4 linked regions of the Anolis sagrei genome follow. The protein of the gene in region 4 interacts with the protein of the main gene of each other region in a pairwise test. Links are inferred from orthologs where the notes say so. Each region holds a gene or a part of one and is shown on either strand. Other genes may lie near its edges.

Region 1 (7,310 bases), on a different chromosome or scaffold from region 4:
AGTAGATATGTTTGTACCTTGTGGGTTGTGTTATGGGCATGGGAATTTTGGTTAAGTTTTGTTGGGGGTTTTTAGAGTTTTGCTGTCCCGTTGAACCAACCTAACAGATTTATATATATAGATTTGTGTGTTTTTAACTGTGCTGTGACCTCCCCAAGCTGTGGGGAGTGGCGGGCAAGAATTATTATTATTAGAAACACAACAAGATGAGTCCACAGCAGACAAGATCACTCTGCTGGCTGTTGTATTGGATCACATCGGACACTTCCCAAGTGTCTAGGACTCTGTCCTGTATCGGCCAATAATTCATGCAGATCCCAGTAAGGTGGCCTTTTGCTGCTGGCAGGTCGTAATTTTGTCGGCGCTGATTGTGTTTAAGTGCAGGCCAAGGTCCTTAGGCACTGCACCCAGTGTGCCCATCACCACTGGGACCACATTTACTGGTTTGTGCCAGAGTCTTTGTAGTTCTACTACTACTACTACTACTACTACTACTACTATTACTATTATTATTATTATTATTATTATTATTATTATTATGTCTGTTTTAACTCCGGGTTGTTGTAGGTTTTTCGGGCTATATGGCTATGTTCTAGAGGCATTTTCTCCTGACGTTTTGCCTGCATCTATGGCAAGCATCCTCAGAGGTAGTGAGGTCTGTTGGAAATAGGAAAACTCCACTGAAAGGATTTACTCAAAAGGGAGAAGAGGATTGTTAGTGAGGCTTGCTGCAACTTGTGCTGCTGCTATACACAATTTTAAAAGGGACATGAGCCTGCACATTCTTTAGCATCTTTGGGGAATCCTGGAATGAACGCCCTGTGGATTCCGAAGGCACACGGCATTGGAATCTGGTCCCAACCACCGACCTGCTCCTTGGTCTCCTCCAGAGACATGCGCTCCTCCATCTCTTTCTTCTTCCGCCTCTCCTGCTCCTCTTTCATCTTCTGCTCCATCATTTTGTCTACTTCTTCTTCCTCTGCAGGACAGAAAGAGAGGTCCACAGATAATTGATTTCCTGGAACAATACAGGGACAATGTCGAGTGCAAAACTTTAATTTGGTGCTAGTCGGAAGGGTCAACCTCAACTCAGAGGAAGGTGGTTGCTGTGTGCCTCAAGGTGATTCTGAGGGTCTTATTTGCAAGATTTATCCTGAAGGGTTTTCCTGTTGCCTTCCTTTAAGGCTTAGAGAGGCACTTTCCCAAGGCCACTCAGGGGCTTTTTATGGCCGAGCGAGGGTTCATTTGATCCCTGGTCTTCCAGAGTTCTAGTCCAGTACTTAAACTCTTACATCAGTGGTTCCCAACCTTTTTTTTTTTACTGAGGGTTGGACTGGATGGCCTTTGGGTGTCCCTTATAACACCATAATTCTATCTATCTATCTACCTACCTATCTATCTACCTATCTATCTGTGGGTTGGATTGGATGGCCTTTAAGTGTCCCTTCCAATGCCTTTCTACCTATTTATGTATCTATCTGAAAGTTGGGCAAGATGTCCCTTGGATATCCCTTCTAACGCCATTAAGCAATGAATCGATGTATCTATCATCTATTGGGGTTGGGTGGCCTCTGAGTGTCCCTTGTAAGTGTATGATTCATTCATTCATTCATTCATTCACTCTTTCTTTCATTCTTTCTTTCTTTCTATGCATCTATCTATCTATGCATCTATCTGAGGATTGAACTGGATAGCCTTTGGGTGTCCCTTCTAACACCATAATTCTATCTATCTATCTATCTATCTATCTGTGGGTTAGACTGGATGGCCTTTAAGTCTCCCTTCCAATGCCATGAATTTATTTTTCTATCTATCTATCTGAGAGTTGGACTGAATGTCTTTTGGGTGTCCCTTCTAACACCATGATTCTATCTATCCATCTGTCTATCTATGGATTGAACTGGATGGCTTTTCGGGTCCCTTCTAACTTCATGAATCTATCTATCTATCTATCTGAACGTTGGACTCCAATGTCCCTTGGATATCCCTTCTAACGCCATGAAGCGATGAATCAATGTATCTATCATCTATCTATTGGGGTTGGGTGGCCTCTGGGTGTCCCTTCTAAGTGCATCTATCTCTCTATCTATTTATCTGTCTGTGGGTTGGACTGGATGGCCTTTGGGTGTCCCTTCCAATATCATGGATTTATTTTTCTAGCTCTCTATCTATCTGAGAGTAGGACTGGATGTCTTTTGGGTGTCCCGTCTAACACCATGATTCAATCTATCTATCTATCTATCTATCTATCTATCTATCTATCTATCTATCTATCTATGGATTGAACTGGATGGCTTTTCGGGTCCCTTCTAACTTCATGAATCTATCTATCTATCTATCTATCTATCTATCTATCTGGGGGTTGGACTGGATGTCCCTTGGATATCCCTTCTAACGCCATGAAGAGATGAATCAATGTATCTATCATCTATCTATTGGGGTTGGGTGGCCTCTGGGTGTCCCTTCTAAGTGCATCTCTATCTATCTATCTATCTATCTATCTATCTATCTATCTATCTGTGGGTTGGACTAGATGGCCTTTGGGTGTCCCTTCTAACTCCATAATTCTATCTATCTATCTATCTATCTATCTATCTATCTATCTATCTATCTATCTATCTATCTATCTATCTATCTATCTATTTCTCTCTCTATCTATCTGTGGGTTGGACTGGATGGCCTTTAAGTGTCCCTTCCAATGCCATGAATCTATCTATCTATCTATCTATCTGAGGGTTGGCCTGGATGTCCCTGGGATGTCCCCTCTAGCGCCATGAAGGAGTGTATCTAGCCTAGCTGCCCCTCTCCCCGGGTCTCACCCTGCCGCTTCCTCTCCCGCTCCACCATCACGTGCCGGTGCAAGGCCCGCGCCATGGCCGAGCTCAGCTTCGGCCGCTCCAGCAGCGCCGGCATGGCGAAGGCCGGGGAAGAGAAGACCCGAAGGCCCAACGAGGAAAAAAAGAAAGAAAAGCGCTCTCCTCCTTCTCCTCAGACCCGCCCGCTTCCGCTATTACTACGGCTACTTCCGGTTCCGGCCCGCGGTGCCACGCTGACAGCCGCCCCTCCCGCAACACGGAGCAAAGGACTTCCGTTCCATTTCGTCCCCTGCCAACTCAGACACAGCAGCTGCATCCGGGGACTTGAAGTCTTAGAAGAGTGGGTTTCTGGGAGAAGCTGCTATTGTTGTGGCTCAAACGAGCTCATATTGTCATTCCAATATGTTTATTCATATGTTTATACACACACACACACACACACATATACACACACACAAATCATAGAATCACAGAATCAAAGAGTTGGAAGAGACCTCCTGGGCCATCCAGTCCAACCCCATTCTGCCAAGCAGGAATATTGCATTCAAATCACCCCTGACAGATGGCCATCCAGCCCCAGGAATATTGCATTCAAATCACCCCTGACAGATGGCCATCCAGCCCCAGGAATATTGCATTCAAATCACCCCTGACAGATGGCCATCCAGCCCCAGGAATATTGCATTCAAATCACCCCTGACAAATGGCCATCCAACCCCAGGAATATTGCATTCAAATCACCCCTGACAGATGGCCATCCAGCCCCAGGAATATTGCATTCAAATCACCCCTGACAGATGGCCATCCAACCCCAGGAATATTGCATTCAAATCACCCCTGACAGATGGCCATCCAGCCCCAGGAATATTGCATTCAAATCACCCCTGACAGATGGCCGTCCAGCCCCAGGAATATTGCATTCAAATCACCCCTGACAGATGGCCATCCAACCCCAGGAATATTGCATTCAAATCACCCCTGACAGATGGCCACCCAACCCCAGGAATATTGCATTCAAATCACCCCTGACAGATGGCCATCCAGCCCCAGGAATATTGCATTCAAATCACCCCTGACAGATGGCCATCCAGCCCCAGGAATATTGCATTCAAATCACCCCTGACAGATGGCCATCCAGCCCCTGTTTAAAAGCTTCCAAAGAAGGAGCCTCCACCACACTCCAGGGCAGAGAGTTCCACTGCTGAACAGCTCTCACAGACAGGAAGTTCTTCCTCATGTTCAGATGGAATCTCCTCTCCTCTAAATAATATATAACTAATAACATATGGAATATATTATATATATGCGTTTGAATATATAAATAATAATATATGGAAAATATATATTATATAAATATATACACATATGAATAAATAGTATATAAATAATAATATATGGAATATTATATATATATGCATATTAATAAATAATATATAAATAATATATGGAATGATATGTAGTATATTATATATGAATAACAATATAGTATGAATAATATGTAACAATATAATATTAATATATATACCAAAAAAGGGAAATGCGAAAGACTGCGCCAACTTCCGTACAGTAGCTCTTGTTTCTCATGCCAGGAAGGGAATGCTCAAGATCCTGCAAGGAAGACTCCAGCAATACATGGAGCGAGAGTTGCCAGATGTTCAAGCTGGGTTTAGAAAAGGAAGAGGAACGAGAGACCAGATTGCCAATATCCGCTGGAGAATGGAGAAAGGCAGGGAGTTTCAGAAAAACATCTATTTCTGCTTCATTGACTACTCTAAAGCCTTTGACTGTGTGGATCATAATAAATGGTGGCAAGTTCTTGGTGGGATGGGCATCCCAAGCCCCCTTGTCTCTCTCCTGAGGAATCTGGACAAGGACCAAGTAGCCACAGTCAGAACTGACCACGGAACAGGAGACGGGTTCCAGATTGGGAAAGGCGTACGGCAAGGTTGCATCCTCTCACCCAACCTTTTTAACTTGTATGCAGAACACATCATGCGAGGATGTGCGGGGCTTGAGGAATGCAAAGCTGGGGTGAAAATGGCTGGAAGAAACATTAACAACCTCAGATATGCAGATGACACCACTCTGATGGCCGAAAGCGAGGAGGAGCTGAGGAGCCTTCTAATCAAGGTGGAAGAAGAAAGCGCAAAAGCCGGGTTGCAGCTCAACATCAAAAAAATGCGAGTTGCTTACGTGTAACTGCGTTTCCACGTGTGATAGTCTGTGAAATTCGCACATAATGGGTTTTGTTCTGCGCATGCGCAGCCGTTCGGAACCTTCTAGAATTTTCAAATAGAAACTTTTAATTGGCGGACGCCCCGCCCAAACTCCCCATACTATAAATGCCCAAGGCGGGAAACCTCGACTCAGTTCCGCAGCCGCTATCAGCAGCTATAGAACAAGCATGACTACTGCGGAGAGGTCGGGCGGGGATGTGCGAATTTCACAGACTATCACTCGGGAAACGCAGTTACAGGTAAGCAACTCGCATTTCCCCTTCGTGTAGTCTGTGAAAAACGCACATAATGGGTGAATAGCAAGCTACCAACCTTCGGAGGTGGGAGTCATGCGACACTGGAAAACAGCACCGCTCTGCCGAAGGCTGCATCCTTCCTTGCCATCGCATCTAGCCTGTAGTGGGAGGCGAATGTTGACGAATTGGACCATGTCGCTGCTTTGCAGATGTCGTCAATTGGAATACCCCTCAGGAAAGCTTGCGAGGTTGACACCGCCCTAGTGGAGTGGGCGTGGATCTGCTGAGGGGGCTCTTTCTTTGCCAGCAGGTAAGCAAGTCTGATGGTCGAGACGATCCACGAAGCGAGGCGCTGGGAGGAGACAGGTAGCCCTAGAGAGTCCTGGCGGTATTTCAGAAAAAGCTTGACTGACTTCCTGTGGGGGGCGGTTCTGCTAGTGTAGAACGCTAGAGCCCGTCTGACATCTAGAGAATGCAGGGAAACCTCCAGAGGAGAAGAAGGATTCTGGAAGAAGGCCAATAGAGAAATGTCCTGTGACAGGTGAAACTTAGAAACAACCTTTGGTAAGAAGGCGACGTCTGGTCGGAGGACCACCTTCTCTTTGTGGAATCGTAGGTAGGGTGCGTCAACTCTCAAAGCACAGATTTCACTCACTCTCCTGGCCGATATAATGGCCACGAGAAAGGCCGTCTTCCATGAGAGATGCGACAGGTCGCATGTGGCCAGTGGCTCAAAGGGTGGTTTGGAGAGCTGTGACAGCACCAGTTCTAGACTCCACGCTGGGGGAGGAGGCATGACAGGTGGGTGTAAGTTGGAGTACCCCTTAAGGAAGAGCCGTATCGTGGGGTCATGGAAGCACGATGGTCTCCCTGTCTGTCTCCAGTACCATGATAGTGACGCCAGGTAGCATTTGATGGAAGACAAGGAGAGCCCTTTGTTGGACAGATGCACTAGAAAGTCCAGTATGACCCCCATCGGGGCTTCCCGGGGGTTAACATTCAGAGGCTTGAGGTATTCCCGGAAGCGTGACCATTTGTATGCATATGCTTTCTTGGTCGTGGCTTTTTGGGCCGCTGCGATTATGTCCTGCACTGCCTCCGAGAGAGGGGCTGGACCCGGATTCTCCACGCTGTGAGGCGCAGGGAGACCAGGTCTGGGTGATACACCCGGCCCTCCTGGATGGAGAGGAGGTCCGGTCTGTCTCGTAGATGGAGGTATTCGCCTCTCGAAGCTTTGAGGAGGGGAGCGAACCAGTGCTGGCGCGGCCACCAGGGGGCGACCAGTATCGCATCCGCGTTGTCCTCGATCAATTTGGTCAGCACCCTGGGAATCAGCGGGATTGGGGGGAAGGCGTATAGTAGGCCCGGTGACCAGCTGAATATGAATGCGTCCCCCATGCACCCTTGGGTCGATCCGGGGTGACGTCTGGCACAAAACGTGTCGCACTGTGCGTTCACTGGCGACGCAAACAGATCCAGGGTTGGTTGGCCCCAATGGCGGGACAGGAACCGGAACTCGTCTCGATGGAGTTGCCACTCGTGATTTGATGTCTGTGCTCGACTGAGGGCATCGGCGAGAGTATTGTCTTCGCCCGGGAGGTGCACTGCCGTGAGATGTATCCTTCGTGGGATGCACCATTCCCATATTGCTGTGGATAAGCCGAGGAGGTCGGAGGAGCGCATCCCGCCTTGCTTGTTTATGTAACATTTTACAGTTGTATTGTCCGTGAGAAGTTGTACAGCGCGCCCGGTGATATGGGGCTCGAAAGCACGCAGGGCCTTCTGGACGGCTAGGAGCTCGAGGTAATTTATGTGGTAGGCAGCCTCCTCGTGAGACCATCTGTCGTGCACTGTCAGATTCTGGAAGTGAGCCCCCCATCCTTGCGTGGACGCATCCGTTGTGAGGCAGCGGGATGGGCGCGGTTGTCTGAAAGCCATGCCTGCAAGGACGTGCTCCTCCGTTGTCCACCACCTGAGGGACTCCAGGACCTGGTGTGGGGGGTACAGACGGATGTTCTGGC
Region 2 (8,007 bases), on a different chromosome or scaffold from region 4:
GAAAGTTTAAAAAAAGAAAAACAAACAATAAGGCTGTCAAAATGATCAAGTGATGAAAAGCACATTAAAACGTCAAATTAAATGTATTTTTAGCTCACTGAAAGACAAATGTGGTCATAATGATCACATGCAATAAATTACATCTAGTCATGATGCTTGACAGCATTCACTCAGACAACACACCACATAGAGATGAAAATTTTGCACTTACACAAAAATACAAATTATTCTCTTTCACTTTAAACACACCAGCGGATACATCATATGCCTTTTATGAGCCATCTATAGCTATCAATTTCCCCAAAATGTTTGGATTGTATTCTAAGCTGTGTCCCATTCCAGCCATCGTGGTAAATTAGCCTTGATGAAAGCGACATTATTGAAAGAGCCAGCCAATGCTGTCAACTAATAATTATACACTGCCAAGTTGGGTAACCTACAGATGTCTTTTAATATTCACAACTGCTTTAAATAATATACCTACATGAAAAGTTCTGTGGAGCACTTTCTCCAACTGAAGGTCCAGCGTTATTTAACAGCACTTCCTCTGGAAGACTTGAAAGAGTTTCAGCCTCAGAAATTGGGGCTACTTATTACAATATGTCATGTTCCACGTAATCGATAATACGGATGGTTATGCACAAACACCTAACAGCTGTCACTTTGGAAATACAAGTAATAGCACATCATAACAATATCGCTACACACAAAACCTGACATTTTATCTCACTTAAGTTCATTCTCTCTAGCTTGTCCTGTGCTGTTTTTTGACAGGAAAAGCGAAAGAAATGTCAGGGAATGGATAACTTTTCAGCTTTTGCTTTGTTGTCTCTCCTGTTCTATTCAAAATAGCAAAAGTAGCAGTATTAGTGGTAATGATAATAATGAACATAATTGGCCCCAAAATTGGCAAATTATCCTTCCTACTTATAAAAATGTTCCATAACAAGCTGAAACAGATAACGTGCCTTCCTAGACTTGGGTTGCTGAGAGTTTTCCAGGCTGTATGGTCATGTTCCAGAAACATTCTCTTCTGACATTTCACCCACATCTATGGCGGGCATCCTCAGAGGCTGTGAGTTATATTGGAAACAGCAGGCAAGAGTTCTTTCTCCCACTCTGGACCGTCCACAAGCATATAAACCTCACTTGCTTAGATTTCAACAGACCTCACAAGCTCTGAGGATGCCTGCCATAGATGTGGGTGAAATGTCAGGAGAGAATGCTTCTGGAACATGGCCATACAGCCCAGAAAACTCAAATAACCGAGTGATTCCAGCCATGAAAGTCTTTGACAACACATTTTCCTAGACTTGGAAATAATTTTCTCTCTTTATATTTTTTCTTAGAAATCACCCAGGTTAGTTACCTGGGTGATTTGCCTGGCTGATTTGCCTAGAAATGACCCAGGTTAGTTGCCTGTCAGCGGGACGGCAGAGTTAAACTACACTGCTACAACCAAGCTATGCTACAGCTTTTGAATGTGCACTTTAAGTCTCCCAGTATCAACAGACCCCCCCCCCCCCCCCTGGGCTGCTTCAGATGAATACATTTCCAAAAGTAGAAGCAGTTGCCCAACTTCTAAAGCATCACTCATGGCATGAAATGTGAATGCCTTCTATCAACACAACCAATCAGAGCCCATTAGCAGGTGCATTCCCTGTCATCACCCTATTTACACTGGATACCTTTAGCATTGGGGGTACCTATTATGCATCACACCCTATTTATAAGGAAAGGGAGATGCATAATAGGTACCCAATGCTAAAGATGCCCCACTCATAAGAAATGTTCGTATTTCCCCCAAAAGAAAGTTGAAGAAATGGGAGGAAATGCTGCAAATGTGAAAGAACACGCTCTCCTCCCCCTTCCCAAAACTTCTTTGGAAACTATCCTGCTCCCAGAATCCCAAGGAAAGCGAGCTGGGTTGAACTCTGGTCTGATATCCATCCAGGAACAGAACTGTCCAGCACGCTGTCCTTTGGCAGAGGGTCAGGAGAGAGGAATGGAAGGCGAAGAAGCCAGGCAGGCTTGGATTGCCTAGAATGCATGTATGTATGCATAGAGAGACCCATACACACACCCATGCAGACACTCCCCGGGCGCTGCTGCTGCTGCTGCTCCGGGGCTGGGCTCACCTACCGTCCTCCTTGTCGAGCACCATCATCTCCGGGGTCGCAGGAAGTCCGGGGAGCGGAGGAAGAGGAGGAGGAGAAAGAGGAGGAGGAGGAGAGGCTCTTCTGCTTCTTCTTCTGCTGCTGCTTCTTCTTCTTCTTGGGCGCCCAGAGGAGCCCCGGCGTCGCGCGGCGGATTGTCCTTTCGCAGCGAGCGCGAGCTCTAATGATCCAGTTGCCCGGCTTTTAACCTAGATTGCACTCAGTTAGAATTACCTTCGAGAAACGCAGCACTTTGCAGATACAAAAGCGCCCTCTCCCACTTGCCTTTCCCCCTGAATTGCAAGGAACTCAAACTGCAATTGAAGGAGCAAAAGGGGGGAGAGAGGGAGAGAGAAAGAGAGAGAGAGAGAGAGAGGAGGAAGGAGCAGGGGAGGCTCGGCGCGGCTCCTTTGGTGCTTCTCTCACCTTCTAAATGGCTCAATTTGCACAGTATAATCTGTTTTAATGTAATTGCCTTTGATAGCCCATCACCTTGGCGGTGGCAACTCTACCGCTTTCAGCCTTAGAGAAAGTGTTTTTCCCCCCACCTCGGATAGAAGCTGGATCTCAATCTAAAAATTACACTCAGCCAGAGGGAGGAGGAGGAGGAGGGGAAGAGAGGGACCAAGGCGAAGAAGAGGAAGAGGAGGAGGAGGAGGAGGAAGAAGGAAAACACCTCGCCGCCGCTGCCGAGGAGCTATTGCTATTGCTATTGCTGTTGCTGCCGCCTCCTGTGCCTCTCCATTTGTGTGAGCCTTGCGCCCTGGCTGCTGAATAAATGCGCTCATTTCCAGGGACCCCCGCTTCTTCTTCTTCTTCTTCTTCTTCTTCTTCTGTCAGGCTCTAATGGGGAAGGCAAAGCTTTCCAGCTCAGCAGCACCACCTGCAGCACCTTCTGCGCTAAGCCCAGGAAAGGCAACGCACTGGAGGGGGGCACTTGCCATCAACTTTGTGCCTGCCTTTTCGGGCTCATCTTTCTTCAGGTCACTAGGTTTACTCCTGAATGGAACCCACCTTTAATCTGTGGGGCAGGCAAAAGGGAAAGGTTGCATTGAATCCTAGAGTTGGAAGAGACTTCGAAGGCCATCCAGTCCAACTCCTTGCCAAGAAGCAGGGAAACGGTTTTCGGTCCAACTTACCTATCCGAAGGTATCTCTCTTTATGAACCATTTAGGACAGTGGTTCTCAACCTGTGGGTCCCCAGATGTTTTGGCCTTCAACTCCCAGAAATCCTAATAGCTGGTAAACTGTCTGGGATTTCTGGGATTTGTAGGCCAAAACACCTGGGGACCCACAGGGTGAAAATCACTGATATAGGACATTAGGATCTTCTGCTCTCGGTCACGCCTTCTTCGCAGATGCATTTGGGCCTTCTCAGTGGTGGCCCCTCAACTGTGGAACGCCCTGCCTAGAGAGATAAGATCGGCCCCCTCCCTCCTGACTTTTCAAAGAATGGTGAAAACCTGGCTTTCTGAGCAGGCCTTCCCAAATACGAAATAGATATATGATATCTTGGAACCACTGACAATGCAACGGGACAATGATTTGATATGGAGACGCTTATGAGAATGCTTTTAAGGTTTTTATATTTTTATATTGTTTGCTAGTGTTATGATTCTTAATTATTGTAATTGTTTTGGCATCAAATTGTTGCCGATTGTTAACTGCTCCAAGTCGCTCTTGGGCTGAGAGGGGCGGTATATAAATGTAGTAAATCAATCAATAAATAAATGCATTCAATGCATCCCTCTGCTTAAAAGCCTCCAAAGAAGGAGCCTCCACCACACTCCAAGACAGAGAATTCCACTGCTGAACCACTCTCACAGTCAACAGTTTCCCCTGACATTAAGTCTAGTCGTATCCTAGTGATTGGAACCCACCTTTAATCTGTGGGGCAGGCAAAAGGGGAAGGTTTCACTGAATCCTAGAGTTGGAAGAGATCTTGTGAGCCATCCAGTCTAACCCCCTGGCAAGAAGCAAGAAAACAGATGACCATCCAGCCTCTGCGTAAAAGCCTCCAAAGAAAGAGCCTCCACCACATTCCAGAGAGTTCTACTGCTGATCAGCTGTCACAGTGGACAGTTTCCCCTGACATTGCATCTACTTGTGTCCTAGTGATTGAACCCACCTTTAATCTGTGGGGCAGGCAAAAGGGAAAGGTTTCATTAAATCCTAGAGTTGGAAGAGACCTTGTGGGCCATCCAGTCTAACCCCCTGGCAAGAAGCAGGAAAATTGCATTCAAAGCACCCCCAACTGATGGCCATCCAGCCTCTGCTTAAAAGCCTCCAAAGAAGGAGCTGCCAGCACACTCCGGGGCAAAGAGTTCCACTGTGAACTGCTCTCACAGTGGGCAGTTTCCCCTGACATTAAGTCTAGTCGTGTCCTTGTGATTTGAACCCACCTTTAATCTGTGGGGCAGGCAACAGGTAAAGGTTTCCCTGAATTAAGTCTAGTTGTGTGTGACTCTGGAGGGTGGTGCTCATCTCCATATTTAAGCCGAAAAGCTAGCATTGTCCATAAACACCTCCAAGGTCATGTGGCCAGCATGACTGCATGGAGCGCCGTTACCTTCCCGCCAAAGCAGTTCCTATTGATCAATTCATATTTGCATTTTTAGTACTGCTAGGTTGGTAGAAGCTGGGGCTAACAACAGGAGTTCACCCACTCCCTGGATTCAAACTGCCACCTTTAGGTCAGCAAGTTCAGCAGCTCACACTGTAACCCTCTGCACCATCAGGGGCTCCAGGGCAAGCAAAACTTCCCCTATATTTTTCCTTCAGGGAAAACTTATCCCTATATTTCCCCCTCTTATTTATACACAGATTCTCTTGCAAAGCACACCCTACTTTCTGCTCACTTCCAAACCAACATGACCAGGGACTTCCAACAAATCAAATTGCATGCTCCAGAGGCAATGTTTAGAGATTGATACATCCATATGCATCCTCTTTTCACTATGGGATGTGAAACAATACAGGTTGAGGGTCCCTTATACAAAATGTTTGGAGGCAGAAGTATTTGGGATTCCCCCCCCCCCCCCCAACCATATTTTGGAATGTTTGGAATGCCTGGGCTTGCATATATGTATATCACGAGCTATCATGGAGATTGGACCCAAGTCTAAACAGGCAATTAATTTATCAAAGGCTTTCATGGCCGGAATTACTAGGCTGCTGAGTTTTCTGGGCTGTATGGCCATGTTCCAGAAGCACTCTCTCCTGACATTTCACCCACATATATGGCAGGCATCCTCAGAAGTTATGAGGTATATTGGAAACTGATTAATTTATGTTTCATATACATTTCACACACACAGCCCAAAGGTAATTTTATACCTAATACATTTGTGCATGAGAGAAAGTTTGTCTATGTCGAACCCCCAGAAAGAAAGGATGTCACTCTCAGCTACTCATGTGGGCAGTTTCAGATTTTGGATTTCCAGATAAGGATTTTTTTATCATATCAGAAGCAACTTGAGAAACTGCAAGTCGCTTCTGGTGTGAAAGAATTGGACTTTTGCAGAATTGGACTGGGGAGGCTCCTCTCATGCTCCTGCCTGGGAAGCTGGAGCTGACAGACGAGAGCTCACCCTGCCTTGTGGATTCAAACCACTGACCTTTGGGTCAGCAGTTCAGCTGGCACAAGGGTTTACCCCATTGTGCCATCACAGTTCCTTCCAGATTTTTTTTTCCATGTCAGGAACGACTTGAGATATTGCAAATTGCTTCTTGTGTAAGACAATTGGCCGTCTGCAGAGACATTGCCCAGGGGATGCCTGGATTTGTTACCCTCCTGTGAAGGCTTCTCTCATGTCCCTTCATGGGAAACTGGGGCTGACAGATGGAAGCTCACCCTATCTCACAGCTTCAAACCACCACCTTAAGGTCAGCAGTTCAGCCGGCACAAAGGTTTCGCCCATTGCACCACTGCGGCTCCTTCCAGATAAGGATAATCAACCTGCATTGTGTAATTTTTCTCTCCTTCGGTAAGTGTACATGCATGAGGCAAGTTTGATTTCAAACAAATGGGTTCCCACCAGACAAGGTTGAAGGTTATCATACAAGTGAGTCTTTCACCTTATGTCTGAATTCATTACATCCAATATTTCTGTGTCTGAATGGATCTAACAAATAACTTTATAAAACACACTCTGCTTCTCATCTCTGAATGCAGTATCATTTTTTTTCATGCCAGAAACAACTTGAGAAACTGAAAGTCGCTTCTGGTGTGAGAGAACTGCCTATCTGCAAGGACATTGCCCATGGGACGCCCAGATGTTTTACCATCCTGTGGGAGGCTTCTCTTATATCCCTGCATGGGAAGCTGGAACTGACAGATGGGAGCTCACCCCGTTCCCCAGATTTGAACCTCCAACCTTTCAAGCTGCAGTCCTGCTGGAACAAGGGTTTAACCCATTGTATCACAATGGACTCAAGTACCATATATCAAATATAATAGTCATACAAACTCTTAATCTAAATCATGGGTTCTTGCATAAAAGGGGCAGGATTTCATAGAAAATTAAGAGCCTGCCTCTCCTCTTAATGATGCCTTGAGTATGGAAAGTGTAGAGCCCTTTCACCAAAGCCCTCCTTCAGTTCAATCATCCCACCATTCCCAGCTAAGTCACTGCAACACTTAACGTAGCTGGCAACATCCAAATCTGAAATGGAGTACCTCTCTCTGCACATATATCTCAGACTGTATCCTCAATAGTTTCTGTGTTTCTACTGCAAAAACCACGAGTAAGGCTTTTATGTATGTGTTGCTAAAGAATAAGTGTCTGATTGCCTTTTTGCAACCCAAGAAAACATTTTCCCCCAGTCTCCATGATACTTCTCCCTCTACTTTACAACAGATACAAGAATCGCCTTTTAAAAGCATGAGAGCAAGTTCAAGCCAGATACCCATAATACCTATTTTTAATTAGATTTCTTATCTTAAACTCAAATAATGTGGTCATTCCCTTCATTTTGAATGCTTAACCCTAATAGTTCCTGGATGTATTTGATGTCCAATATATCATTTTGCCCAGAGAACCATTTCATTCAGTTCCCGAAACTTCCAATTTTAGCCACTACCCACTTCTTAGAGCAAGAATACAAACATTATAGGTGGGATTTTTATACCACGATCCCTTATTTCAGAAGAAATCTTCCAGTCATTCCCAACAAACCTAATCACCAGTAGTTTCAGACCAAAGCATCAAAGCACTGCATTTGGAAGCATCACTTCTTCCAAATTCAAACATTCACAGCATCTGTTTAGCAGGATTTCGGTCAGCTTGGGTTGTTGAAATGAATTATAAAAACAAATACAATACTTCTCTAATATACTATTAAACTTCAATAACTATCAACCTCTAATATAATAATAATAATAATAATAATAATAATAATAATAATAATAAATTTGTAGACCACCCTATTTCCCCGAAGGAACTCATATAATAATTTTTGAAGCATCGTTGTCCCCAAATAATACCACTAGCTTCTTTTAACTTTCTGTTATTTGAGGCAGATTCTTATCATTACAGTATTTCAGAGGAAGAAGATGCCTTACACCATCTAAACGTTTCTCACTAATTTTAAAGAATAGTTGATAATGCTGGACAAGGCCCTCTAAAGTAGAGATATTTAGCTTTTTCCTCCATTTATTCTCCTTTGTCCAAACAGGGTGTGTGTGTGCTTGTGTGTGTTTAATGGTCTCCAAATGACGAATAAACTAGTAGCACAATACAGCTAATGTTAAAACAATTTTAAAAGTCCCAATGATTTCAAGGAAGAGTTAAATATCTTGGTTACTGAAATCCACACAATTAAAAGGTGCTTAATTTTGGGAGGATTGTGC
Region 3 (7,716 bases), on a different chromosome or scaffold from region 4:
GAAGGAAGAAGAGAAGGAAGGAAAGAAAGAGGTACCGAAGGAAGGAAGAAGAGAAAGTAGAAAGGAAAGGAAAAGGTAAGGAAAGGCAGGAAAGAGGTAAGTAAGTAAGTAAGTAAGGAAGGAAGGAAGGAAGGAAGGAAGGAGAAAAGGAAATAAAAAGTGAAAGAAGGAAGGAAATGGAAGAAAGGAGACAAAATAAAAAGTAGAGAAAGGGGGAGGGAAGGGAGGAAAGAGAGAAGGAAGAAAGGATAAAAAGGGGAAGGGGAAGAAAAAGGGAAGGAATAGGTAAGTAATGCCCTTTCATAATAGTCCAGATATCTACCTCTACTTCGAAAATTCTTACTATAGGCCACAGCAACGCATGGCAGGGCACAGCTAGTGTGTGCGTGTAAATAAATGCTCTGTTCGTTTTGAGTGACATCATAATTCAAAATCCGCTGGACGAATTGCTGCCAAATTTGACCACAAGACATCTAAAGCAAGGAATAACCATCACTCAAAAAATTGATTTTGCCATTTGGGAGTTGTAGTTGCTGGGATGTATAGTTCACCTACAGTCAAAGAGCATTCTGAACTCCACCAATGATGGAAATGAACCGAACTTGGCACACAGAACTCCCATGACCAACAGAAAACACTGGAAGGGTTTGGTGGGCATTGACCTTGAGTTTTGGAGTTGTAGTTCACCTACATCCAGGGAGCACTGCGAACTCAAATAATGATGCATCTGGACCAAACTTGGCATGAATACTCAATATGCCCAAATGTGAACACGGAGTGTGGGGAAAAAATACCTTGACATTTGGGGGTTGTAGTTACTGGGATTTATAGTTCACTTTCAATCAAAGAGCATTCTGAACCCCATCAACGATAGACTTGAGCCAAACTTCCCACACAGAACCCCCATGACCAACAGAAAATACTGTGTTTTCTTGTGGTCTTTGGCAACCCTTCTGACACCCCCTTGCAACCCCCCCAGGCGTCCCGACTCCCAGGTTGAGAAATGCTGCCTTAAGGCCATCCAGTCCAACTTCCTTCACCAGGGCAAGAAAACATAATCAAATGCCTCCTGACAAAGAGCCATCCAGCCATAGATATAGATAGATATATGTGATACACACGCACACAGAGACACACACATATGTATATGACAGATATAGTCTCATAGATTTGAAAGGGACCCCTAAAGATGGACAATAATATGTTGCATGTTCCAGAGTAGGCAAACCAGACAATCTCTACATCAACACTGACAAAGAAACAACAAGGAATACTGGGTTGTTGTAGGTTTTTTTGGGCTATATGGCCATGTTCTAGAGGCATTCTCTCTTGACGTTTCGCCTGCATCTATGGCAAGCATCCTCAGAGGTAGTGAGGTCTGTTGGAACTAGGGAAATGGGTTTATATATCTGTGGAATGACCAGGGTGGAACAAAGAACTCTTGTCTGCTGGAGCTAGGTGTGAATGTTTCAACTGACCACCTTGATTAGCATTTGATGGCCTGGCAGTTGTTTGATGTTGTTGAATGTTTTTATGTTGAATGTTTTTATATTGTGTAAATGCTATTTTAGATTGTAAGTCGCTCGGAGCACCTTGGTGGAGAGCGACTAATTAAGAAATAAAGTGAAGTGAAGCGATGTGGCATGTTGGTGCCTGGGGCAATCTTTTGTTGAGAGGTGATTAGATGTGCCTGATTGTTTCCTCTCTGTTGTTTTGCTGTTGTAATTTTAGAGTTTTTTTTAACTCTAGTGAACAAGAAATACTGTTTACCCACAAGCATAAAGAAATTACATATATGAGAAACCAACACTTTCTAATTATTTTCCAGATCTCCAGACTGGGCCACAGCAATGCGTGGCAGGGGACCGTTAGTTCCTAAATTAATAATAATAATAATAATAATAATAATAATGCTACCGGGCTCAATTCAAAGTGCTGGCGTTGGCCTATAAAGCTCTAAACGGTTCTGGCCCAAGTTACCTATCCGAACGTATCTCTGCCTATCAGCCCACCAGGACCCTAAGATCTTCTGGGGAGGCCCTGCTGGCGGGGACGAGAGACAGGGCCTTTTCTGTGGTGGCCCCCCGGCTGTGGAACGCCCTTTCTATGGAGGTAAGATCAGCCCCCTCGCTAATGGTGTTCCGAAGAAGATTAAAAACTTGGATGTTTGGACGGGCATTCGGTTAAACAGTGCAATGAATGTGATGATTACAGGAATGGAAATTTGGACGACGGATTGGATCACGACTCTAGTTATGAGATGCATTGTGTTGTCTATTGTTGTGTCAATATTGTATATTATGCTTTTATGGTTTTAAATTATATATCGTTGATTGATTCTTATCCTTGTTGTAAACCGCGTTGAGTCGCCTGTTGGGCTGAGAAACTGCGGTATACAAGTAAAGTAAATAAAATAAATAAATAAATAAATAATAATAAAAACCCTGGAGGGCCCAAGGAAGGAAGGGGCCTGAGACTGTTAGGAATGGTGGGAGTGAAGTCCAAAACCTCTGGAGGGCTCAAGTTTTCCCAGGCCTGGTATATATTGCAAATAAAGCCAGCCAAAGGGTTAAGACAGAGGTCTTCCCTCAGGGATGACTTACCCCAGTGCGGTTCGTTCAAACGTACAGCAAGAAAACGGGCGTTTGGTTCTGGCCTCTGGTTCTGAAGAAACGAGCCCTGGGTTTGGCAGGAGCCTCAGGTCGCAGTTATGCTAATTTTCGTGAAGTGGAGGTGACGTCTCTAGTTCAAGGGCGCTCGCACTCTGGTGTGTTTACTATCGAGAGCCATCTCGTTCAGGAGGCAGGCGGGCAGCGAGTTAGAGCATCGTCACACAACGGAAGCGTCCTCTCCTAGCAACTGCCCGGAGGGCTTACCCGCCACCGATAACGAGGAGACATGGATCTCCTGCCTCGAAACGCCGCGAGGCCCAAAGAGCGGCCACGTCGCTATGGCAACGTGTGCTAGCGCGCCGCCACGCCCCCTCTCCCTGCTTCCCTCCGCTGCCGCGCCAACCTTCTGACCCCGATTCTCTGGGTAGGCTGTTTACCTCTGTTGCCTAGCAACGCTCACGCACATGCCGCCTAGCCATTCCTGTTCTGCCTTTTTACGCGAAGTGCCAATCGGGCCTGTCAGGCGCCGCTGGACTACATCTCCCATAATCCCTTGACGCTCACTGTAGTGGCAGGGGAGACTGGGAGTTGAAGTCCATTTGGGTTGGACTTGAACTTGGATGTTCAAACAGGCATTTGGTTAATTCGGTGCAATGAATGTGTTGATTACGGATTGGTAATATGGATGATGCAATTGGACCACGATTTTAGTTAGGAGATGTATTGGATTGTGATTTTGTGATTTCGTGTAATATTGTGTATTATGTTTTTTATGGTTTTAATTGTATACTGTGCACTGTATATTTTGTTGTAAACCGCGTTGAGTCGCCAGTTAGGCTGAGAAACGGCGGTATACAAGGACAGTAAATAAATAAATAAATAAATAAATAAATAATATATGTAATTTCTTTATGCTTGTGGCGGTAAACAGTATTTCTTGCTGTTTCTTTGTCAGTGATCTCATTACTACTCTGGAACATGCTACTCTCCGAACGCATCTCCTCCTATGAACCGACTAGGACACTAAGATCATCTGGGGAGGCCCTGCTCTCTGTCCCGCCTGCATCACAGGCACGCTTGGCGGGGACAAGAGACAGGGCCTTCTCGGTTGTGGCCCCTCGGCTGTGGAACGCCCTGCCTGCAGATATCAGATCGGCCCCCTCCCTGCTGGCGTTTCGGAGGAAAGTGAAGACCTAGCTGTTCAAACAAGCATTTGATTAAACAATGTCATTGAACATAGGAATGGAATAATGTATGATGAGACTGGATTCTGATTTTACTGTTGAGGCACTAATGATTGTTATTCTGATGTTTAATGATTTATGTTACAATTGTTTTTAATTGCCCTATACTTGTCTCGTGATGCTTTGTATCGATGTTGTTCGCAGCTTTGAGTCGCCTGAGGGCTGAGAAAAGCGGTATATAAATAAAGTAAATAAATAAATAAATACTGCTCATTGGAGGGAAGAATAGTAGAGGCCAAGATGAAGTACTTTGGCCACATCATGAGAAGAAAGGAAAGCTTAGAGAAGACAATTATGCTGGGGGGGAAGGAAGAAAAAAGGAAGAGGGGCTGACCAAGGGCAACATGGATGGATGGTATCCTTGAAGTGACTGGATTGACCTTGAAGGAGGTTGGGGAGGTGACGGCCAACAGGGAGCTCTGGTGTGGGCTGGTCCATGAGGTCACCAAGAGTCGGAAACGTCTGAACTAATGAGCAACAAAGAGGTCTCTTTCAGATCTTTCAGTGGTGCACATCTTGTTACATCCTGAATCGATTACTGCAACGCACTCTATGTGGGGCTGCCTTTGAAGACTGTTCAGAAACTTCAACTAGTCCAACGGGCTGCAGCCAGATTACTAACTGGAGTAACATACAGGGAGCACGCCACCCATTTCTTGTGTCAGCTCCACTGGCTACCAATCCACTTCTAAACTAAATTCAAAGTGCTGGTTTTGAGCCATAAAGTTCTATACGGTTCTGGCCCAGCTTACTTGTCCGAATGCATCTCCCACTAAGTCCCGCCTTGCAGTTTAAGATCATCCAGGGAGGCCCTGCTCTCGCTCCCGCCAGTGTTGCAAATACATCTGGCGGGGACGAACGACAGGGTCTTCTCGGCTGTAGCCCCCTGCATGTGGAACTTGCTTCCCAACGAGGTAAGATTGGCTTCATCCCTCCTGTCTTTTAGGAAGAAATTTAAGTCGTGGGTCTAGGACCAGGCTTTTGGACAGCAGGCATAAATAGCACTTTGGATATGGAATTAGACTGGAATGGTGATACAGCGGTTAATACTATTTTTATTGTTTTAATTAATATTCTATTTATTGTTTTAATTGTTGTTATATCGCTATGTTATATTTAATGACATCAAATTGTGCCAAATGTAAGTTGTCTCGAGTCCCTCTTTGGAGGTTGAAAAGGACGGGATATAAATGCTGGAAATAAATAAATATAGGCACTAGGAACATCTCTGAAAATTCCCTTTTTAAAACCACACCTCCTCTAAGATCTGTTGAAAAAACCCAATTTTCCTAGTTTCTAACAAGACCTCACAACCTCTGAGGATGCCTGCCATAGATGCAGGCGAAACGTCAGGAGAGAATTTTAATCAGTTTTCATCAGTTTGTCTTTTTAATCACTACATGTAGCCTGCCTATTATTATTGTGCCTGTGCATATTTTTTAATATTGTTATGTATTCATATGTTTTATGCAACTATGATTTTATTGTTTATTGTTCGTGTTTTCGGTTTGTGTTTTTGGTTTTTCTTTATTGTAATTATCATTTGGGCTTGGCCTCATGTAAGCCGCTCTGAGTCCCCATTGGGGAGATGGTGGCGGGGTATAAATAAAGATTATTATTATTATTATTATTATGGAACATCGCCAACAACCCAGTCTATTGGATGTTAGCAATTGGGAGAGTTGAAGTCCAAAATACCTGGAATGTGGGCCAAAGTTTGGCCATGCCTGATATATAGTATATTTGTGTGTGTATGTATATACCAGGCATAGGCAAACTTTGGGCCTCCTTCCAGGTGTTTTGGACTTCAACTCCCACAATTCCTAACAGCCTCACTTCCGGACTACGGCTTAGGGAGGGGCCTCTCTAGTCAGAGACGGAGGCCAGCTCTGTGGTTTCGCAGTCGAGCCGTTAGTGGCGGTTAGAACCCTGAACGCGCGAGCTGGCTGCTGATTGGCTGAGGAAGGCGGCCCCTCTTCTGAGGAAGGGAGGCTGTCGGGTATACGTTCAGGCGGCCCCAAAGACCCTGCAGGTGCCAAAAGCGATCCCCCGCCCCCTTTTTACATATGCATGAAGATGCAAATGAAGGCAGGGTTTACCCTCTGCCCTTGCCTTGACATTTGGCCTTCGACTTCCCCCTTCAGAGGACATGCCAGCTCTCCTCATGGAGCCATCTCTGGGGGCTGGTGGGGGGATATGGGCTCTGTATCTGCGTTATCTCTCTGGCCTAATGGCACTTTTACTTTTGATCCAGGGACCGCTGACCATGGCTGAGGGAGATGGACTCGTGTCAATCGATTACGAAGTGTTCGGGAAAGTGCAAGAGGTGTTTTTCCGCAAATACACACAGGTATCTGCCCATCCTGGCATGTCAAGGGTTTGACTAACACAGGCATTGGCAAACTTCGGCCCTCCAGGTGTTTTGGACTCCAACTCCCACAATTCCTAACAGCCTACCGGCTGTTAGGAATTGTGGGAGTTGGAGTCCAAAACACCTGGAGGGCCAACGTTTTCCCATACCTGGACTAACATAAATTAAGGCTACTTGAGTTGAGTGAGGCTAAGGCCACTTCCACACACCTGAATCAAATCCCACATTATCCGCTTTGAACTGGGATATATGGCAGTGTGGACTCAGATAACCCAGTTCAAAGCAGATACTGTGGATTTTTTGACTTGATATTCTGGGTCATATGGCTGTGTGGAAGGGCCTTGAGGTTGGATCTGCACTGCCCAATATCCCATGATCTGATCCCAGAGTATCTGCTTTGAACTAGATTATATAAGTCTACACTGCCATATAATCTGGGATAAACATTATCCCAACATTATTTCCAATTTTAACTTTACATTTGGCCTTCCCACTGTTTTTAATTGTGTGTTGTCTTAGTGATAATGTTGTATATTTTATTGCTTATCTTTTTTTATTTTTAATGGCTTGTATTGTTGTTTATTGTCTGTATTGTTGTATTTGGGCTCAGCCTCATGTAAGCCGCACCGAGTCCCTTGGGGAGATGGTAGCGGGGTACAAATAAACTTGTTGTTGTTGTTGTTGTTATTATTATTATTATTATTATTATTATGGGGTCCTGGAATATAGGGCAGCGTTGAAGGGACCCTACTTAAGAGCAGAAACATTCAAGGTTAATGCTGTTAGAATCAGCTGTCTGGCTATTATTTATTTATGTCTCACTTTATATTTCTAAAGACACCCAAAGTAGCTTAAAATATATTCATTTTGCATTTCCAGGGGTGGGGATAGAGGGTTGATAACAGAAACGAGTTGAACAGCATTTTTTTTTACTCTTTTAAGGAAATCGATTCTTATAAAAAAAAGGCAGCTTATACTTTTCTCTGTATTCAGACAGATCATTGCATCTTCTTCAGGAGATATTCTGTATATGGATTTTTCTCCTTTAGGCTCAAGGAAAAAAACTAGGTGTAGTTGGCTGGGTCCAGAACACTGACCAAGGCACTGTGAAAGGACAGATCCAAGGCCCAACTCTCAAGGTTCGGCAGCTTCAAGAATGGCTTCAGAAGACTGGAAGTCCCAAGTCCCGCATTGACCGAGCTGAATTCCGTAGCGAGAAGAAGATCACTCGCTTAGAACATAGTGATTTTTCTATTGTCAAATAACAAGGGCCAAGGGAGCACAGCACCTCATTCATGGAAAGAGCCTCAAGTTTTCCCTTTAGTTTTCTGTTTGTTCATTGTTTACATGCATATTTGTTCACTCCCAAATGTTATTTATTTAGTGTTTATTGAATGGCCAAATATATAGTCAGACTTAGTAATGTATAACCTTGATGTGTTAATAGAGCATACCTCCAGAAGTATGCAAAAATTGGATTGCCACATTG
Region 4 (7,269 bases):
AATTCCATCATTGGTGGGGTTTGGAATGCTCCTTGATTGTAGGTGAACTATAAATCCCAGTAAGTTCAACTCCCAAATGTCAAGGTCTATGTCCCCCAAACTCCATCTGTGTTCATATTTGGGTGTATTGAATGCTTGTGCCAAGTTTGGTCCAGATCCATCATTGTTTGAGTCCACAGTGCTCTCAGGATGTAGGTGAACTACAACTCCCAAACTCAAGGTCAATGCCCACCAAACCCTTCCAGTGTGTTCTGTTGGTCATGGAAGTCCTGTATGCCATGTTTGGTTGAATTCCATCATTGGTGGAGTTCAGAATGCTCTTTGATTGTAAGTGAACTATAAATCCCGGCAACTACAACTCCCAAGTGACAAAATCATAATATTTGAGTGATGATCACTCCTTGTGTTGTGAGACGTTTTGTTGCCAAATTTGGTGTGATTTCGTTCATTGGTTCTTTTGTTTTTAAGGTATTCATTATGCACAGAGCATTTATATATATATATACACACACACACTAGCTGTCCCCTGCCACGCATTGCTGTGGCCCAGTCTGATGATCTGGAAAATAAAGTAATGAGAAAGTGTTGGTTTCTAATATATGTAATTCCTTTATGCTTGTGGGTAAACAGTATTTCTTGGTTTTTTTTTCAGTGTTGATGTGGAGAGTGTCTGGTTTGCCCACCCTGGAACATGCAACATATAATTGTCCTTCTTTAAGGGTCCCTTTCAAATCTATGATACTATGTGTGTGTGTGAATCATATATATCTATCTATATCTATATCTGGATGGCTCTTTGTCAGGAGGGCTCTGATTACATTTTCTTGCCCTCGTGAAGAAGAGAGTTGGAGTGGATGGCCTTAAGTATTTTCTGTTGGTCATGGGGGTTCTGTGTGGGAGGTTTGCCCCAATTGCTGGGGTTCTGAATCCTCTTTGATTGTAGGTGAACTATAAATCCCAGTAACTACAACTCTCAAACATCAAGGTCTATTTCCCTCAAACTTCATCTGTGTTCATATTTGGACATATGGAATATTTGTGCCAAGTATAGTCCAGATCCATCATTGTTTGAGTCCACAGTGCTTTCTGGATGTAGGTGAACTGCAACTCCCAAACTCAAGGTCAAGGCCCACCAAACCATTGTAGTATTTTCTGTTGGTCGTGGGAGTTCTGTGTGCCAAGTTTGGTTCAATTCCATCATTGTTGGAGTTCAGAATGCTCTTTGATTGTAGGTGAACTGTGAATCTCAGTGACTACAACTCCCAAATGTCAAGGTCTATTTCCTCCAAACTCCATCTGTGTTCATATTTTGGCGTATTGAGTGCTTGTGCCAAGTTTGGTCCAGATCCATCATTGTTTGAGTCCACAGTGGCTTCTGGATGTAGGTGAACTGCAACTCCCAAACTCAAGGTCAAGGCCCACCAAACCCTTCCAGTATTTTCTGTTGCTCATGGGGGTTCTGTGTGCCAAGTTTGGTTCAATTCCATCATTGTTGGAGTTCAGAATGCTCTCTGATTATAGGTGAACTATAAATCCCAGCAACTACAATTCCCAAGTGACAAAATCATAATTTTTTGAGTGATGGTCACTCCTTGTGTTGTGAGACGTGTTGTTGCCAAATTTGGTGTGCTTTCGTTCATTGGTTCTTTTGTTTTTAAGGTACTCATTATGCACAGAGCATTTTTATATATATAGATAGAAGATAGATAGATAGATAGATAGAAGATAGATAGATAGAAGAGAGAGAGAGAGAGAGAGAGAAGATAGATAGACAGATAGAGATATAATAGATAGATAGATATAGAAGATGGATAGAAGATAGATAGATAGATAGATAGATAGAGATATAATAGATAGATAGATGATAGATAGAAGATAGATAGATAGAGATATAATAGATAGAGAGAAGATAGATAGAGATATAATAGATAGATAGATAGATGATAGATAGAAGATAGATAGATAGAGATATAATATATAGAGAGAAGATAGAGATATAATAGATAGATAGATAGATAGATAGAAGATAGATATATAGATAGAGATATAATAGATAGAAGATAGATAGATAGATAGATAGATAGATAGAGATATAATAGATAGAAGATAGATAGATAGCAGATAGATAGATAGAGATATAATAGATAGATGATAGATATAGATAGATGATAGATAGATAGAAGATAGATAGATGATAGATAGAAGATAGATGATAGATATAGATAGATAGAGAGAGAGATAGAAGATAGATGATAGATATAGATAGATAGATAGATAGATAGAAGATAGATAGATGATATAGATAGATAGATAGATAGATAGATAGATGATAGATAGAAGATAGATAGATAGAGATATAATAAATAGATAGATAGATAGATAGATAGAAGATAGATAAATAGATAGAGATATAATAGATAGAAGATAGATAGATAGAAGATAGACAGAGATATAATAGATGGAAGATAGATAGATAGAGATATAATAGATAGATAGATAGCAGATAGATAGAGATATAATAGATAGATAGATAGATAGATAGATAGATAGATGATAGATAGAAGATAGAGAGAGAGAGAGAGAGAGAAGATAGATAGATAGAAGATAGAGATAGATAGATAGATAGATAGATAGATAGAAGATAGATAGATAATTGCATATTATTATATACAATAGAATAAATATAATAATAAATACTGTTTAACCCACTGTTTCCAGGCAGAACAAGCCCCGTAACGGTTTCCATGGCAACCCTTTTATAATAGTTTATTAATATAAAATATATTAATATGTGATAGTCATAAATATGGCAATAATAATAATATTATATATATATATTTCTTACCTTCCTTCTTTCGTGAAAGGGAAACAAAGGCCTGCTTCTTCTTCACAGCCTTCTCCTCGCTGAAATGAGCGCCACTTCCTGTTTGGCCTTCAAGCGACTGCGACTGCGCCTGCGAGCTCAGCGTTGACAATGGTGAAGCCCGCCCCGGAAGTGACGCCTTGCAGGAGCAAGCGGATTGAATGAGGAAACAATAATGGGCGACGTAGCGACGTTTCGTGGTGACCGCCCTCATTTTCTCATCTCTGACTTTCTAGTTTTTCGTCTCGATGGTTACGGTGGCCCGAAAAGCTCATTTCCAGACTCATAGGATGAAGCTCATAATAAGAATACTAATGACAATAATAATAATAGTATACTATAAAATACACAAATTGAAAACAAGAATGTGTGTGTGTGTGTATATATATTTATATATATATATATGTGTGTGTGTGTATATATATATATATATATATATATATTGAAAATAAGAATATAATAAAATATGGATATAATATAATAATTTTTAAATATAATTTATTTATTTATCATTTATTTACTTCATTTGTATACCGCCATTCTCAGCCCTAACACGACTCATAGCAGTTTACAACAAGCAAAAACAAGGCGAACAATCAAGGCAAAAATTCAATGTGGCATCAAGAAGGTACTTAAAAACAGTTAACACAGAAACAAATTAAACAATTTAACACTAATAAACATTCAGTGGCGTCTCATAACTAGAATCATGATCCAAACTTGTCAGTCGTAGTTCCATTTCCTGAAATTCATTGCACTGCTTATTCAAACGCCTGTTCAAATAACCAGGTTTTCACTTTCCTCCGGAATACCATCAATGAGGGGGCCAATCTGATGTCCGTGGGAAGGCCGTTCCACAGCCGAGGGGCCACCACCGAGAAGGCCCTGTCTCTTGTCCCCGCCAGCCGCGCCTGTGTTGCAGGCGGGATCGAGAGCAGGGCCTCCCCGGAAGATCTCAAAGTCCTAGTGGGTTCATAGGTGGAGATGCGGATAGGTAACTTGGGCCAGAACCGTTTAGGGCTTTATAGGCCAAAGCCATGTGTGCTATAATGTCAATCAAAATCATAAATCTCCTGGTTCCATTATATGCAAATTACTGACTGCTTTAAGGAAGACAAAAAGAAAGACTTCTCCCCACAAGAGTCACTGTGGGACAAAATAATGGAAAAGGATAAAAAAGTGGTCAGAACCCTTTATGGGAAACTCCTGGAGTGGGAAACTGAACTGGAAGTTGTAAAGGAGAATATGACCAGCTGGGCAGCTGATTTCGGGCACTCTATTCTCCTCAGCGAGTGGGAGGCTATATGGAAGAGAAAATTAAAATTTGCAAAATCCACCAACATACTAGAAAATTGGCAAAAAATCTTCCACCGATGGTACCTAACTCCACAGAAGATGGCAAAATTCCACAAAGGAACGAACAGTGACTGCTGGAAGTGTGGGGGGGAGCTGGGTACCCACTATCACGCATGGTGGCAGTGCAAAAAAGTCAGGAACTTCTGGCGGGAGGTGCATAGGGCAGTGCAGAAGATCCTGCAGATAAAAGTGGAGTTTAAAGCAGAATATTATCTTTTACATTTATTAGATTTTCAGTTAGACCCTAACAAAGATATGTTGTTGTTTCACTTCTCAGCAGCCGCCAGAATTGTGCTCGCCGGCAAGTGGAAGAGTAAGGAATTACCAAAAATTGATACCTGGCTATTAAAAATTAGAGATTTAATGGAGATGGACACTCTTGCAACTATGACTTACGAGATTAGCGAGAGACGCAAGATTGACTGGCAACCATTCAGGCAATATTTGAAAGAAAAGAAGAGTATAATTTTATAATTTTACAAGATTTGGGAAGCGGCGTAGACGATCAAGAGACTTTGTTTTCTATTGTTACTAGTATAACTCTGCTGAATCTCTGAGGAAGTCCACTTGTTGATTGTAACTTGTCGATAGAATGATGCCTCTGTAATTGTGTGTGTAGGTGCTATGTAGCACCAACCTTCTAGCACCCCCCCCCACTAACCTTCCCCCCCCCCCCCCGCCCACACTTTCCCTCCCTTTACCCTATACCCACCCCAACCCCAGGGCTGACTGTGGAATATGTAATGTTTATTGTGCAATATTCAATGCCTAGCGGACCATAACTGAATATTTGTGTAATTGTGTAACTGTGTAACAGTGTAACAGTGTAACTGTATAATTGTACGTTTTAGCTATGTGTCTTCAAAAAAAAAAATCCTGAATAAACACTATTCAAAAAAAAAAATCAAAATCATAAACAACTAATGAACAACTGCATAGCTAACTTAGACCAATGAAATGATTTGTCTTTGGGAACCAATGAGATGATTGATTTCTATGTACCAATCAAACTGTTTTAATGAAAGTCATAAATAATCAATGCAACCAACTTTAGGTTGGACAAACCCCTTTATTGCATTTCCATATGCATGTTTGTCACTATTGCTTCAGCTGCGCAATAAATAGCATTTTGCAGTTTTAAAGATTCAACTTTCGTGGTGTCCTTCCTCGCCCTCCTTGGGAAGGGGCAATCTGCTCTTGGATTTTGGATTTGTGGATTGTCTTGATCGTTTTTGCCCCTACACCAGCACTTTGAATTGGGCCCGGTAGCAAATTGGTAGCCAATGGAGCTGGAGCAACAGAGGGGTTGTATGCTCCCTGTGTGCCGCCCCTGTTAGTATCATGGCTGCCACACGCTGGACCAATTGAAGCTTCCGAGCCGTCTTCAATGGCAACCCCACGTAGAGAGCATTGCAGTAGTCTAAACGGGATGTAACAAGAGCATGGACTACCATGGCCAAGTCAGACTTCCCAAGGTACGGGCGCAGCTGGCGCACAAGCTTTAACTGTGCGAATGCTCCCCTGGTCACCGCTGAAACCTGGGGTTCCAAGCTTAGTGGAGAATCCAGGATCACACCCAAGCTGCGAACCTGCGTCTTCAGGGGGAGTGCAACCCCATCCAGCACAGGTTGTAACCCTATACCCTGTTCGGCCTTGCAACTGACCAGGAGTACCTCTGTCTTGTCTGGCTTCAGTTACAATTTGTTCGCCCTCATCCAGACCGTCACAGCGGCCAGACACCGGTTCAGGACCTGGACAGCCTCCTTAGTAGCAGGTGGAAAGGAGTGACAGAGTTGGACATCATCATAATATACACAATTAAATTATTTATTTTATTTTATTTTATTTTATTTGTTCTCAGCCCTTAGGTGACTCACAGCGGTAAACAACAAGAACAGCAAAAATTCAATGCTACAATAACACGGTATAAAAAACAGTTGACATCATAACACATTATACAATAATATACAATTAATAACAATAGCCATTCACTAGCGTCTCGTCACTGAAAAACATGATCCAGATCCGTCATCCATTGTTCCATTCCTATGTTCATTACATTCATTGCACTGACTATGTTCATTACATTCATTGCACTGCTCAAACAACCAGGTTTTCACTTCTTTGCGGCATACCATTAATGATGGAGCTAGTCTAATGTCTGTGGGAAGGGCGTTCCACAGCCAAGGGGCCACCACCGAGAAGGCCCTATCTCTCATCCCCGCCAGCCGTACCTGTGAGGCAGGCGGGATTGAGAGCAGGGCCTCCCCGGAAGATCTCAAAGTCTTGGTGGGTTCATAGGCAGAGATGCGGTCGGATAGGTAGCTTGGGCCGGAACCGTTTAGGGCTTTAAAGGCCAACGCCAGCACTTTGAACTGAGCCCGGTAGCAAATCTGTAGCCAGTGGAGTTGGCACAACAGGGGGGTTGTATGCTCCCTGCGTTCCGCTCCTGTTAGAATCATGGCTGCCGAGTGTTGGACTAGTTGAAGCTTCTGAGCCGTCTTCAAAGGCAACCCCACGTAGAGAGCGTTGCAGTAGTCTAAACGGGATGTAACCAGAGCGTGGACTACCGTGGCCAAGTCAGACTTCCCAAGGTACGGGCGCAGCTGACGCACAAGCTTTAGCTGTGCAAATGCTCCCCTGGTCACCGCCGAAACCTGGGGTTCCAGGCTCAGCGTTGAGTCCAGGATCACACCCAAGCTGCGAACCTGCGTCTTCAGGGGGAGTGCGACCCCATCCAACACAGGCTGTAACCCTATGCCCTGTTCGGCCTTACCACTGACCAGGAGTACCTCTGTCTTGTCTGGATTCAGTTTCAATGTATTTGCCTTCATCCAGACTGTGACAGTTGCCAAGTTCAGGACCAGTTCAGTAGCAGGTGGGAAGGAGAGATAGAGTTGGACTTCATCTGTGTACAGATGACATTGAACTCCAAAACTCCAGATGATCTCCCCCAGTGTAAATGTCAAACAACATGGGGGACAGCATTGATCCCTGTGGGACCCCACAAGTCAATGGTTGTAAGGTCGAGCAGGTGTCGGCCAGCTGAT

What was found.
Region 1: the proteins of TFIP11 (region 4) and GPS2 interact in binary tests that used the Homo sapiens proteins (3 or more experiments, as listed by UniProt). The two-hybrid records come from large-scale screens. The link is inferred for Anolis sagrei from reciprocal best matches to the Homo sapiens genes TFIP11 and GPS2.
Region 2: the proteins of TFIP11 (region 4) and LMO1 interact in binary tests that used the Homo sapiens proteins (3 or more experiments, as listed by UniProt). The two-hybrid records come from large-scale screens. The link is inferred for Anolis sagrei from reciprocal best matches to the Homo sapiens genes TFIP11 and LMO1.
Region 3: the proteins of TFIP11 (region 4) and ZC2HC1C interact in binary tests that used the Homo sapiens proteins (3 or more experiments, as listed by UniProt). The link is inferred for Anolis sagrei from reciprocal best matches to the Homo sapiens genes TFIP11 and ZC2HC1C.

The regions. Positions count from the first base shown.
Region 1 is NC_090026.1:4,566,077-4,573,386, reverse strand, and holds the start of GPS2 (G protein pathway suppressor 2), read right to left. Parts: upstream 3,010-7,310; 5' UTR 2,914-3,009; coding exon 2,820-2,913; intron 980-2,819; coding exon 870-979; intron 1-869. UniProt on the Homo sapiens protein: Key regulator of inflammation, lipid metabolism and mitochondrion homeostasis that acts by inhibiting the activity of the ubiquitin-conjugating enzyme UBE2N/Ubc13, thereby inhibiting 'Lys-63'-linked ubiquitination.
Region 2 is NC_090021.1:250,807,678-250,815,684, forward strand, and holds the start of LMO1 (rhombotin-1), read right to left. Parts: upstream 3,002-8,007; 5' UTR 2,168-3,001; coding exon 2,143-2,167; intron 1-2,142. UniProt on the Homo sapiens protein: May be involved in gene regulation within neural lineage cells potentially by direct DNA binding or by binding to other transcription factors.
Region 3 is NC_090021.1:304,973,487-304,981,202, reverse strand, and holds the start of ZC2HC1C (zinc finger C2HC domain-containing protein 1C), read right to left. Parts: upstream 3,014-7,716; 5' UTR 2,604-3,013; intron 1-2,603. Other genes in the region: ACYP1 (acylphosphatase-1), read left to right, coding at 6,006-6,206, 7,277-7,492.
Region 4 is NC_090034.1:60,703,953-60,711,221, reverse strand, and holds the start of TFIP11 (tuftelin-interacting protein 11), read right to left. Parts: upstream 3,002-7,269; 5' UTR 2,846-3,001; intron 1-2,845. UniProt on the Homo sapiens protein: Involved in pre-mRNA splicing, specifically in spliceosome disassembly during late-stage splicing events. Intron turnover seems to proceed through reactions in two lariat-intron associated complexes termed Intron Large (IL) and Intron Small (IS).